Linked DNA regions of Oryctolagus cuniculus. Each later gene encodes a partner of the first gene's protein in a complex. Links are inferred from orthologs where the notes say so. Each region holds a gene or a part of one and is shown on either strand. Other genes may lie near its edges.

What was found. Proteins that work in one complex are often made in the same cells at the same time.
Region 2: RBM10 (region 1) and MYSM1 share a complex: the UniProt entries of both Homo sapiens proteins name them as parts of the large chromatin remodeling complex. The link is inferred for Oryctolagus cuniculus from reciprocal best matches to the Homo sapiens genes RBM10 and MYSM1.

The regions. Positions count from the first base shown.
Region 1 is NC_091453.1:32,700,194-32,706,375, forward strand, and holds part of RBM10 (RNA-binding protein 10), read left to right. Parts: intron 1-3,642; coding exon 3,643-3,826; intron 3,827-5,368; coding exon 5,369-5,599; intron 5,600-6,182. UniProt on the Homo sapiens protein: Binds to ssRNA containing the consensus sequence 5'-AGGUAA-3'. May be involved in post-transcriptional processing, most probably in mRNA splicing. Binds to RNA homopolymers, with a preference for poly(G) and poly(U) and little for poly(A).
Region 2 is NC_091438.1:114,363,194-114,369,375, reverse strand, and holds part of MYSM1 (deubiquitinase MYSM1), read right to left. Parts: intron 6,150-6,182; exon of another isoform or gene 6,012-6,149; coding exon of another isoform or gene 5,970-6,011; intron 4,886-5,969; coding exon 4,787-4,885; intron 1,709-4,786; coding exon 936-1,708; intron 1-935. UniProt on the Homo sapiens protein: Metalloprotease with deubiquitinase activity that plays important regulator roles in hematopoietic stem cell function, blood cell production and immune response.

The DNA of each region.
Region 1 (6,182 bases):
GTATTGTGGCTCAGTGAGATAAGCTGCCACTCAGGATGCCTGCATCTCAATATTGGGCCACCTGTTGGAGGCCCAGCCACTCCACTTCTGATCCAGTTTCCTGATAATGCATCCTGAGAGGCAGTGGATGATGGCCCAGTAATTGCATTCCTGTTGCAAGGAGACAGCAGGGTGGGAGACCTGGCTGGAGTTTCTGGCTCCTGGTTTCTGCCTGGCCCAGCACTGTCTGTTGGGCGCATTTGGGGAATCAACTGGTGGATGGAAAATCAATCCATCTCTGTTTCTGTCTCTCTCTACCTTTCAGGTAGACGAAAATAAATAACAAAATTTTCTTTAAAAAATATATCTGTACATTGAAAACTTTGGTGGAACTCACCCTTAATAGAACCCAGACCTGGGGTTTTTTATTACCATTTCGTCTCTTCTGCCAATTTTGGCATTTTATGTTTTTCTTAAATATACTCATTTTATGAGGGTCTCCATGTACTCATGTTGTGATTCAGTCAAACTTCCTAGAAGTGTATTATAAAAGGAGTCTCCCTTTGGAAGGTATTTGAATATTCACAGTGCCTTGTGGCCAATTATCTCTCACTACCTAAGTGTGTTCTCTTCCTGAGTCTTAGGTAGCAAGAATTCAGTAAATAAAATTCATTTGGCTCAGATCCTAGGTGTCAGAGAGTTCAGGATTTCATCTGCAATTAATGTCTGTTCAGTTCTTGAATTCTGATGACTGGAGTTCAAGTGACAAGGGATACCTATAGTAAACATACATAAAAAAAAATCCTGAGTATCAGAAACCTTAAAGTTACTCATGCTGCTGATGGTGACTTCTTGTCTAGGTATTATCATATAGAAACAATATTTGGGTTCCAAGGCAAGCTCATGAGGCCAAGGACTTAATTTTGTTCATAGCAGCATCCCCAGTGCCCAGAACAGTGCCTAACGCATAGGAAATGTTATGTTGATATTTGTTTGCATGAATAAATGAATGAGAAGACAATTTTTAAACAATGGAAACCAGCAAAAGTGTCTGGGACACTTTAAAAGCTATTTCCCAGAGCAGGCCTTTAGCCTGGCTATTAAGAAGCCAATTGAGTTGCGTGGTGTCCCACATCAGAGTACCTGGGTTCAAGTACTGGCCTCTGGTTCCTGACTCCAGCTTCCTGCTAATGCAGACCCTGGGAGGCAACAGTGATGGCTCAAATGATTGGATCCCTGAGTTCCTGGCTTTGACTAGCCTCTGTGGGCATTTGGGGAATGTACCGACATGGAGTCCTCTTGCGTGTTTGTTCTCTCTCTCTCTCTCTGCCTCTCAAATAATAAACAGATTTTTTAAAAGAAGATATGTTCCTCATTTGTTACTTATCTTTTGACTTTACGGTGTTTTCTCAATATTTTAGTATGAAATTTCAAACATACAGTAAAGTTGAGAGAATTAGAGTGAATGTCTGTCTACCTATCCACTAGATTCTCCCATTAACATTTTACCATACTTGCTTTATCACATGTTTATTTCTGTTTATAGTCCTTTTTTCTGAAGATTTATTCATTTATTTAAAAGAGTGACAGAGAAAGGGAGGGGAGACAGAGAGAGAGAGATCCTCTGTTCTCTGGTTTACTCCCCAAATGGCCACTACAGCCAAGGCTGGACCAGGCCAAAGCCAGGAGCCTAGAACTCCATCCAGGTCTCCCAAGTGGGTGGCAGGGGCCCAAATACTTGGCCACCATCTTCTGCCTTCCAAGGTGCATTAGCAGAGATCTGGATCAGAAGTAGAACAGTTGGGACTTGAACTGGCACTCTGATATGCAGTGCCAACAAGCAGCATCTTAACCTGCTATGCCACATCACTGGCCACTGTTTATAGTATTTTTTTGATACTGTAGATATTTTTAAAATTTACTAAGGCACATGTACCCGCTTCTTCCCCTTTATGACTTCTGGGTTTTGTCTCACTGAGAATAGGCCTTACCCATTCTTACGGTGATAGATTTTGTTCCTAGGTTTTCTAATATTTTTATGATTTCTATTGGGGAATTAAATTTTTTTTACCCTTCTGAAATTTATTGAGTGAAAGAAGTAAGATAAACAACTTTATTTTCTTGGGAGTCAACACATTTTTTTTCCTGTAAAGGACCAAGTAGTAAATATTTTAGTGAATGATGTCTTTGCAAACATACAAGTATATCTGTGCATCAGATTCCCAGAACTAGGATTGTGAATCAGTGTACAGATTTAATTTTGCCGGCCATTGCCAAAGTCCCCTCTGTAAGGATTGTTCTACTTTTATTTCTACAGCAGTACAAATATGCTTATTTCTCATACCACCTTACCAGTGGAATTTGTTGTCAAACATTTGGACTTTGCAAATCTCTTGGGTTAAAAATGCTGTAACACAAATGAAGAATTCCAGATGATATATGCAGATACTTCCCCACCCAAGAAGTAGAGAAATTTTACGGGAGAGAAACCCAGCAGACAACTACCAAACCGGATCAAAGTGAACCTCACCAGTGATAAGTCATGTTGATACCATGTACTCCCTGCTAGGACACAGTCAGAAGGGTATCACACTTCTCTTGTGTGCTTCTCCAAACAAAAGCCCGTAATCCAAAGTCCAATCATACGAACACATTAGACAAAACCAATTTGAGGGGCATTCTACAGGCATTAGGGGGAAAAAAGCAGACATTTGGTATAGCAATTAAGACACCCACATCCTGCATGGGGGTTCCAGGTTCAGTTTGGGGAATATGGTGGTAAGCCAAGCAGATGTGGTCCCCTCATTTCCTGGAACTCACAGGCTAGAAACTTTTGGTCTCATCAAAGAAATGCTCCTGGCTTTGGCCTGGTCCAGGCTTGGCTGTAAACCAACTTTTTTTTTTTTTTTTTTTTTTTTTTTTTTAAGAAAAAGATCTATTCGTTTGAAAGGCAGAGTGAGCCAGAGAGAGATCTTACATGCACTGGTTCACTCCCAAAATGCTTTCAACAACCAGTTCTGAACCAGGCTGAAGCCAGGAACCTGAAACTCTATCCGGGTCTCCCACATGGGTGGTTGGGGCCCAGGGCCATCCTCCACTGCTTTCCCAGTGCATTATCCGGGAGCTGGATTCAACACTGATACGGGATGCCATTGTTGCAAGCAGTAGCTTAACCCAGTGTGCCACAATACCAGCCCCCTGAACCAACTAGGAGGTAATTATTTTACGATTATTGCAGTAGGAGAGAATTTAACAAAGGTGCTGCTGATGCTACTAGGTGACTGAAACCAAGGAGCAGGATGGCACAGCATACTGTGGGGGCAGGGAGAGAGGTGGGCAGGGACCAACCCTGTCAGCCTTGCAGGACCTTAGTGAGCATGTGGGTGTTTTATGAAGGCTAAGAGGGAGCCCCTGAAGGGAGCGATGTGATTGGGTTTGATTGGCTTTGCCTTAGAGAACACACAGGGACTTGGGGATTTGGAATGTAAAGCCTGAACTAGGGGTGGCCTGGGTGGATGTGAGGAAGCCAGGGGAGGGCTTTTGCACTGTCAGAGGTGGGAGTGAGGGCCTCAGTGACGTGAGTTGCCAGGACAGGGTCGCACCTGCCTCGTGCGCCTTTCAGAACAGGCGGCCCTCTAATGCCTCTCCGTCCTCCCTCCCCAGAGGTGGTCGGGGTGACAGGACTGGGCGCTATGGAGCCACTGACCGCTCACAGGATGATGGTGGGGAGAACCGCAGCCGAGACCACGACTACCGGGACATGGACTACCGCTCGTACCCTCGCGAGTACGGCGGCCAGGAGGGCAAGCACGACTACGACGACTCGTCTGAGGAGCAGAGTGCAGAGGTGAGGGCCGGCCGGGCCTGGGGCAGGGCTGCCACAGGGCCTTGGCATCTGGCTGCAGCACTTTGTGCGGGCAGCTCTCTGCTCCCGTGCCTTCAGACTCTGCTCAGTGGCTTTGCCTCACCCACAGGGTCTCTGCCCACTCCCTTCTCTGAGGACTCCTCTCCCAAGTAGGGTCTCCCTGGCTTCCACATGCTTGGCTCTGTACTTCCGAGGGCCCCTGGCCACTACCTCTTTCCCTTCTTCCTTGTTCAGTTTGGGCCCAGGGGTCATTGCAAGGCCGGTACTGCCTGCTCCCAGCCAGTTGGGGATACTTGAAGAGCTTCTTTGATGAGACCCGGCGTGTGGGGTTGGGAGGACAACTGGGAGATGGGATGTCACGAAACCGAGTAGCTCTGGGAGGCCAGTGGTGGGTACTCCCAGGGTCGACAGGACGCCCACACAGAAAGAAAGGACCCTTGCGGGAGCTAGTACCCTATTGGATAGTTGCCGTTAGCCTGACGGGCGAGGCGTGAGGCTCACCGTCAGGGAGCACCCAACCAGAGGTGAAGAAATGGCCTTGTGTTAGGGAAGCCCGTTTTAGGGGAGTGGTCAGGGTTGTGGCCTAAGCAAGCTGGCAGATCTCCCTGTCCAGCAGGATGGGAAGGATACGCTTGCAAGCCCAGCCCTGGGGGTTGGGTGGGGCAGGGTGTGAGCCCTTGGAGGGGTTCAGCGTAAAGACCCCCATGGTGGGGTCCAGAAGCAGAGCACAGCCAGGCTTCCCCTGTGGCGGCCATTGAGCTGTGCCTGCACGCCTGCAGGGGCCAAGTGGTCCCCGGGCAGACCTCTCGACAAGTGTGGCAATAAAGCACCCAGTTATCTGGCTCTGGCCCACTTGTGGGTAGGAGGGGCATAGCCCCTGGCCTGGCCTGCTTTAGTCCTGCAATGGATGCTTTGGGCAATAGCTAGGAACCTGGTAACCACACCCTGATCTGAAGGAGGCTGGTGGTGATAGGGCTGGCTAGGGGTGAGGAGCAGGAGCCAAGGGAGTGTGTCCATGACCCTCATGCCTTCACCAGCCCCTGCGGGCTGGCTCTAACCCGGATCTGAAGCTGTTCCTACACCCCCAGCTTGGTTGCAGGGCCCAGGCCGGGAATCCTAGGAAACTTGTGGCCTTCAGTGGCACAGGAAACCATTGTGCACATGCCCGCTGAGTTGGCGAGGGAGGGGGGGGAGAAATCCAGGGTAGCGTCTGGTTGCCAACCCCAGCTGATCCACCCGAAGGAGGTTCAAGTTGTGTCTTAGCACCTTCCTTGGGGACTTCCTCCCCTTATGCCAATACTGTCATTCCTGTAGGCAGCTCCCCAAAAGTATCCCATGGAGAATTTCTAGCCCCAGAAGCATCGCAGGGCAGGGCCCTCCCACTCTGCCTGCCTGAGCCTTTAGCCGGAGCCCGCGCACCCCTGGCTTTCAGAGCCTGCCTGCCTCAGAGAGCCCGTGGCCAGCCCCTAGGCCCGCCCAGACTGACTGCCCGTCTGGTGTCTCTCGTCTCATTCTGTCGGCCAGGATTCCTACGAGGCCTCCCCGGGCTCCGAGACTCAGCGTAGGCGGCGGCGGCGGCACAGGCACAGCCCCACCGGCCCGCCAGGCTTCCCCCGAGACGGCGACTATCGGGACCAGGACTATCGGACCGAGCAAGGGGAGGAGGAGGAGGAGGAGGAGGATGAGGAGGAGGAGGAGAAGGCCAGTAACATCGTCATGCTGAGGATGCTGCCACAGGCAGCCACTGAGGATGACGTACGTGCCCCCCGTGGCCCCGGGCAGGCGGCAAAGCAGGAGGCCATGCTGGGTCTCCTCCAGGGCCCTTAATTTCTCCCCACCCCTCCCTCACCCCCAACCTCAGCACCTTTCATTCCTTCTCCCCCACCGGCTCCTGTCCCCAGCACTGATGCATCCCATGTGGGCAGGCCCCGTCAGCTCCTTGTCTTGAAGGAACAAGTGTCGTGTCAGCTAGGCCGGCTTGGCCCAGGGGCAGCGGCCGTGGGTTGTTCTGTTGATGATGCCTGTTGGGAGGACAAGGGCATTGTCCCTGCGCATTCCATTGACTTCCATCCATTCTGCATGTGTGGATCAAGGGCCAGATGCTCACCAGGCCCTGTGCTGGGTGTCGCTGGGTACAGAGATGATGCCTGGGCCCTGCAACCGTGGGAGTGGTGAGGGGGCATGAGATTTCCTGAAATTTCATTCTCATTTCTCTTGCTCTCCCTTTTTGTCAGCAGCATCAACACTCATCACTGGCCTGGCCACAGAGCCTTGGGCAGCTGCTCAAGGCCTCCACATCTGCTTTCCTGTGTGGCCTTCTCTCCCTTCCGTTTTTCTC
Region 2 (6,182 bases), on another chromosome or scaffold:
CTTTTAGAATACTGCTACCTTTAAAAACCTAATGACTTAATATTATGTGGGCAAAATGAAGGCTATTGATTTGGCACATTATTAAGTTTCCTTTATGTAACCTTCCAAAGCTATAGCAGAAAGTTACTGCAAAGGAGAGGAAGACAGAACAAAAGAGAAAAACAAGGGACAAAGCAGAATCCCTACTCAAGGAACTGGGAAGCCCTCTCTAAAAATGGCCCTATATGATTCAACAGTTCATGAACTAGTAGTAGCAATTATGAGTGTTTAATGATGGCTTAATTAAGATGTCAAGATTACTTCAAATTACTTTTATCAGGTTAACGAGGTAAGAAGTTTTTTGGTTTGCTCCCTAGGCCCACTAAATAGTTCAAGTAAAATGTATTAACAATTTAGAGGGTAAATTTCACATATTAGAAAATTCCTGGACCTTGATGAAGCTGGATGAAGAAATTATTAGCATATTCCACCACAAGTTTAAAGCTGAAGGCATTTAAGACAGCTGTTCAGGTGGAGTTTCTGCAAAGAGGCCACATTTAATGATACCATCCTCTGTCACCAAATCTTTCCTTCTTTGCACTTAAAGTACATGATAAATCCCAAAAAGAAAAATTCTCTCCTATTCCCAGTACAGTAGTGTTCTACATCTGCATTATTTCTGTCCCAAGGAATTGCTTCTTGAAGCAGTTATTCATCCCTTTTCTTTCCAAGCACAAACACTCAGATGAACAGACAGATGGTATTGTGACAGCTATACATGACCAAAGCTTTCAAAAAAGTTTCACTGTGAGAAAGTTAAATTTTTCCTACTGAAATGCTGTTATGTGAAAACACTCTTATTGCCACCAAAATTCTAAATTCTGCATAGGCCTAACTAAAACACTTAAAGAGTATCAGGTTTTTAAAAAGGCATCTAAAATGTAATTTTTTCTTACCACTGATCCAAAATGTAATTTCTAATTTTCAAATAGCGTTCTGGTGTTTTAGCTTGACGCCCCTCAAAAAACTCAGGAATTGCTTGTTTTTCTTCTTCTTGAATGGTATTTCTATCTATTTCTACTTCTTGTTCTGGTGGCTTAAGCTCTTCTTCCTCGTGGCTTTCTTCCACAACATGACAAGAAGAATGAAAAAGCATTTCATTGTCACTCAAATCTTTATTTTCACAAGTCTCAAGAGAAGGCCACTGACTCGCATCATCTATCAGTCCATTTCCATCATGCCCGTTATAGTTCTGAATTGGTTTATTACATTTCTCATCTTTTAATTCAACTGATTTTTTGTCATTGTTGCTCGGTTTGTCAGTCTGTAATGTAATCTGTGAGCCTGAAAGTGTTTCCATTTCATCTTGCTTTAGATTCTTAAGATATTCCCCGGAAGATTTAAAAAAGGGGTCTTCCTGGCTATCAGATGCAATGCATTCTCCTTGATTGGTTTCATGCATACTACTACTACTAGGAATAATGTCTAATAAGAGACCACTGTTAGAATTCTTCTGGGGTGCTTCAGAAGTGAATTCATCCACCTCGTCTGTGATGTCTACTTCTTCATCATCAGACAATTTTTCAATTTTTACAGCATTCAAGTTGGGATCAGCATGTCCCCTTAAACATGATGGTATCCATGCCTCTGTCCCTTTGTCTTCACTTTTAACTTGAAGATCACTGCTACTTTTCTGATTTGGTGTTTCTTTCTCCGGACCCCATTTTACCTTATTAAAAAAAATCAGAATAAAACCTCCATAATATTAAGATTTTAAAATTTAATCACTGACACAATAAATACAATAATATACAATAATATAATTCAAGTGAGTGCATGTTAATGATACATTATACTTTTATTCTGCTTCTCTTGGATTTATAACTGTAGTTTTAATGTAAAAGATCACATTTTAAATTTCCTTAGATATATGATTAATTCATAATGTGGTGATTTCTATTAATCAAATAACCATGGTCTATATAGAACTACCATTTATTTGTCAATATTAAGTTTAAAATACGTGTCTGGCTTAGACCAATCACAATCAACCTGTAACTGTCATACTAAGAAGTTCTACAAGATATTAAAATATTTATAAAAGCTCTTTTCTTAAATGTCTAATATCTCAGCTGACTGTTTCTTTAAAGCTTTTTCTTAAAAGAATCTATCACATTTATCTCACTTATCCTACTTAGTAAATTAAAACCATCTGTCATTTATTTTATTTATTTTTTTTTTGACAGGCAGGGTGGACAGTGAGAGAGAGAGAGAGAGAGAGAGAGAGAGAGAAAGGTCTTCCTTTTCCATTGGTTCACCCCACAATGGCCGCTGCGGCCGGCGCACTGCGCTGATCCGAAGCCAGGAGCCAGGTGCTTCTCCTGTTGTTCTCCCATGCCGGTGCAGTGCCCAAGGACTTGGGCCATCCTCCACTGCACTCCCGGGCCACAGCAGAGAGCTGGACTGGAAGAGGGACAACCGGGACAGAATCTGGTGCCCCAACCGGAACTGGAACCCAGTGTGCTGACACCACAGGTGGAGGTTAGCCTATTGAGCCAAGGTGCCGGCCTATCTTTCATTTAGATACAGTAACAAAAAAACAGTTTTTTGTACGTTCATTTAATGCAGCTCCAATATTATAGCACTTACATTTTAAGTCATGCAATTACTTTCCATATCAGCTATACAGACATAGCTATCTGATAATACAACACAAGAATGATAATAAAAGTCAATGAGTAGGTACTGGCACTGTGGTGTAGCAGGTAAAGCTGCCATCTGCAACACAGCATATCCCACAGCACGCAGGTTCGAGTGCCGGCTGCTCTACTTCCGATCCAGCAATTTGTGAATGGTCTAGGAAAAGCAGCAGCAGATGACCCAAGTGTTTGGGCCCCTGCTACCCATGTGAGAGACCTGGATGTAGATCCTGGCTCCTGGCTTTGGCCTGGCCCAGCTCTGGCAGTTGCAGCCATCTGGGGAGTGAACCAGCAGATGGAAGATCTCTCTCACTCTCTCTCTATAACTCTTAATAAGTAAAAAAATCTTAAAAAAAAAAAAAAGGCAATGATTAAATATGACTTGAAATAAAAAATCCTTACATAGAAAGTTTTTGAAAAATTTTGTAAATGATTGCTATACCCAAGGGATATAACAACTTTCAGAAAGACTATTTCTAGACCTAATATCACGTCAGCATTCTAGGATTAAATATTTGGTGTTAATTGGCTTACTACGTAGAAAAAAAAAAAGAATAGCAGGAAGGAAAACAAGATTTGGACATACAAGCTGAAATATTCTCTAGCAACCTTGCTATTTATTTGGTCCCGTTTTTAATCTTAAAAATTCAGATATTTTGGATTAGATTTTATAACATACTAATCATTCTAATATTGAAATGTATCTTTCTACCACAGTCTTTCAGTAAAACTGACACTCCAAGATAAACTAAATATTGCAGTTTGAAAAGCTTGCAGGTAGAATAACCACCACATTAAGCTTTATTCTTCTTAATACCTCAACCTTAGCAAGCTGCCCCAACAGTACTTTTGTTTAAGAGGAAGTGGATGATTTATGTACAACGAATATATTCTATCACTTTCTGCCCATGCCAGTTAACACTAAGAGAAATCTTGTATACAGGGTACAGTCTACTAGCCACACTGAAAGAAAACATCAAATTTCACTTATAATATTTTCAAATTTTATATAATTATGTTCTTAGAGCAGAATATATTTAAAAATTCCAACTATCAAAATCACATAGTTGGGGCTGGTGGTACGATACATGGGGTAAAGCTACCTCCTGCAACGCTGGACTCCCATTTGGGCGCGAGTTTGTGTCCCAGCTGCTTTACTTTCAATCCAGCTCCCTGCTACTGGCCTGTGAAAAGCAGCAGAAGATGACTCAAGTGTTTGGGTCGCTGCCATCCAGGTTGGAAACCTGAAAGAAGCTCCTAGCTCCTATCTTCAGCCTGGCCTAGCCCTGGCGGTTGCGGCCAGCTGGGGAGTTTGACAGTGGATGGAAGACCTCTCGTAAGTCTTTTTTTTTCAACTTCTATTTAATAAATATAAATTTCCAAAGTACAACTTCTGAATTATAGCAGCTTTTCCCTCCAACCTCCCTTCCACCTGCAACCATCCACTTCCTGTCCCATCCCATTCTTCATCAAAATTCATTTTCAATTACCTTTATACATAAGATCAACTTAGTATATACTAAGTAAAGATTTCAACAGACTGCACCCACACAGACACACCAAGTATAGAGTACTGTTTGAGTAGTAGTTTTACCATTAATTCACATAGTACAGCACATTAAGGACAGAGATCCTACATGGGGAGTAGGTGCACAGTGACTCCCGTTGTTGATTTAACAATTGACACTCTTATTTATGATGTCAGTAATCACCCAAGGCTCTTGTCATCAACCGCATGGTTGATACTGAAAAAATAAGAAACTAGAAAAAACTGCACTTTTGTGAATCCTGTAATTTATTAAAATTTTCAATTTTTCAACACTATAAGAATTTCATTGTTACTTAACAGACTTCAAAAATCATGTTAGCATTAATGTTCCCAAAGTTCTAATTCTATTTTGCTGTATGACATTAATAACACTATTAATAAAGACATGCTCTAAAGTTTAAATAAATATTCATATAGTAGTTTACGGATATCAAACCCTTTCCGTATAAAAACTTTAAACAATAAAACTTTAATGCCTAAATTAAAGAAACATTTCTGCTTATTAATTTGCTCATTCTAAATGTATCATTAATAACAAGGATATTTATATTCTGCTTACCTTATTTTTAAAGTATTGTCTGGCATAACTCTTCACTTGTAAAACAGTGCGGCTTCCAATTAACTTTGCAATTTTGGTCCACCTTCGGCCAAATTTAGTCTATGTTATCAAAATGGAAGAAAATTACCTTTGATTAACTAATATAAGCAATTGCCACATTTAAAAACAATCAACTGAAATAATAATCCATCTTTATTTTCTGAAGTACAAATGAGGACTCCTACAATGTTCTTAAAATCAAAGTCCACATTCTTCTTTTGCAAACTTAAACTTCTGAAAATCAACTGAAGAAATTTAGAAATTCGTTTTATTATATAGCTATTCAAATAAAGATCCATCACTCTACTACCTAACTATGAATTTATATTGCATATTATGATGTTTTAAATTAAAGGTAACATCTTAAAAGATCTAAGCTACTAAAGGGAGGCAGGTTATGTTTTTCCAATTACAGGATCAACTAAACGTCCTCTGCACTAATTTCAAAGTAATATCCTACCCATATCCATTATGTGCCCCATAGCAATTAGCTTTATATGCTATGCATGTATCACAGACTATATATCCACATTTATATCTATATCACTCTATACAGGTGAACTGACTTGTGAGATCAAATCATAAAAGAAGCAGACATACCACCAACACCTCTCTATACCTCTCTAATGTCAGAGGCTGTGCACCACCTAAACTGAAGCTATAGTGAGAAAATACTGAGAACAGAGAGCTAGATAAAGCGCCCATGTTATTCTGAAGTATACAAAGGAACACACAGAATTTTAGAAAGGGCTAACTATACAAAACCTCTACAAAATCCCTAATACATACTACTCTGCCTCCCATGACAGGTCAATAACTCTTTAATTTTAATTTTTTGGAATTTTGAAAACTGTGAAAAACAAAAATGTAGTCACAACTCAGGGAAGCTGACCCTAGAGTCAGACTTACAAGTCAGGTAATCAATCATGCATGATGGTAGCAAATTATCTTTGAAGATCAAAGCCAAATGATAAACCATAATTTATATGCTTATTTCTGAAATTTACCAGAAAATCTAACATATAAATAATTTCTTAAAACTCAAAGTACTTCTGTGAAAATTATTAGTAAGTATAAATTATTTAAGATTTCTCTTAAGCAACATCTAGCTGAGATCAAATTACTGAAGAATTATTATTTTTACTGGGGGATGAAGACAAACAGGTAACTTGGTAGCATAGAGCATTTCTGGAGACAGAAGAGATCTGAATAAAGAGTGATCAATTTATCAGCGCGGTGTGCCGGCTGCGGCGGCCATTGGAGGATGAACCAACGGCAAAGGAAGACCTTTCTCTCTGTCTCTCTCTCTCACTGTCCACTCTGCCTGTCAAAAAAAGAAAAAGAAAAAAAAGAGTGA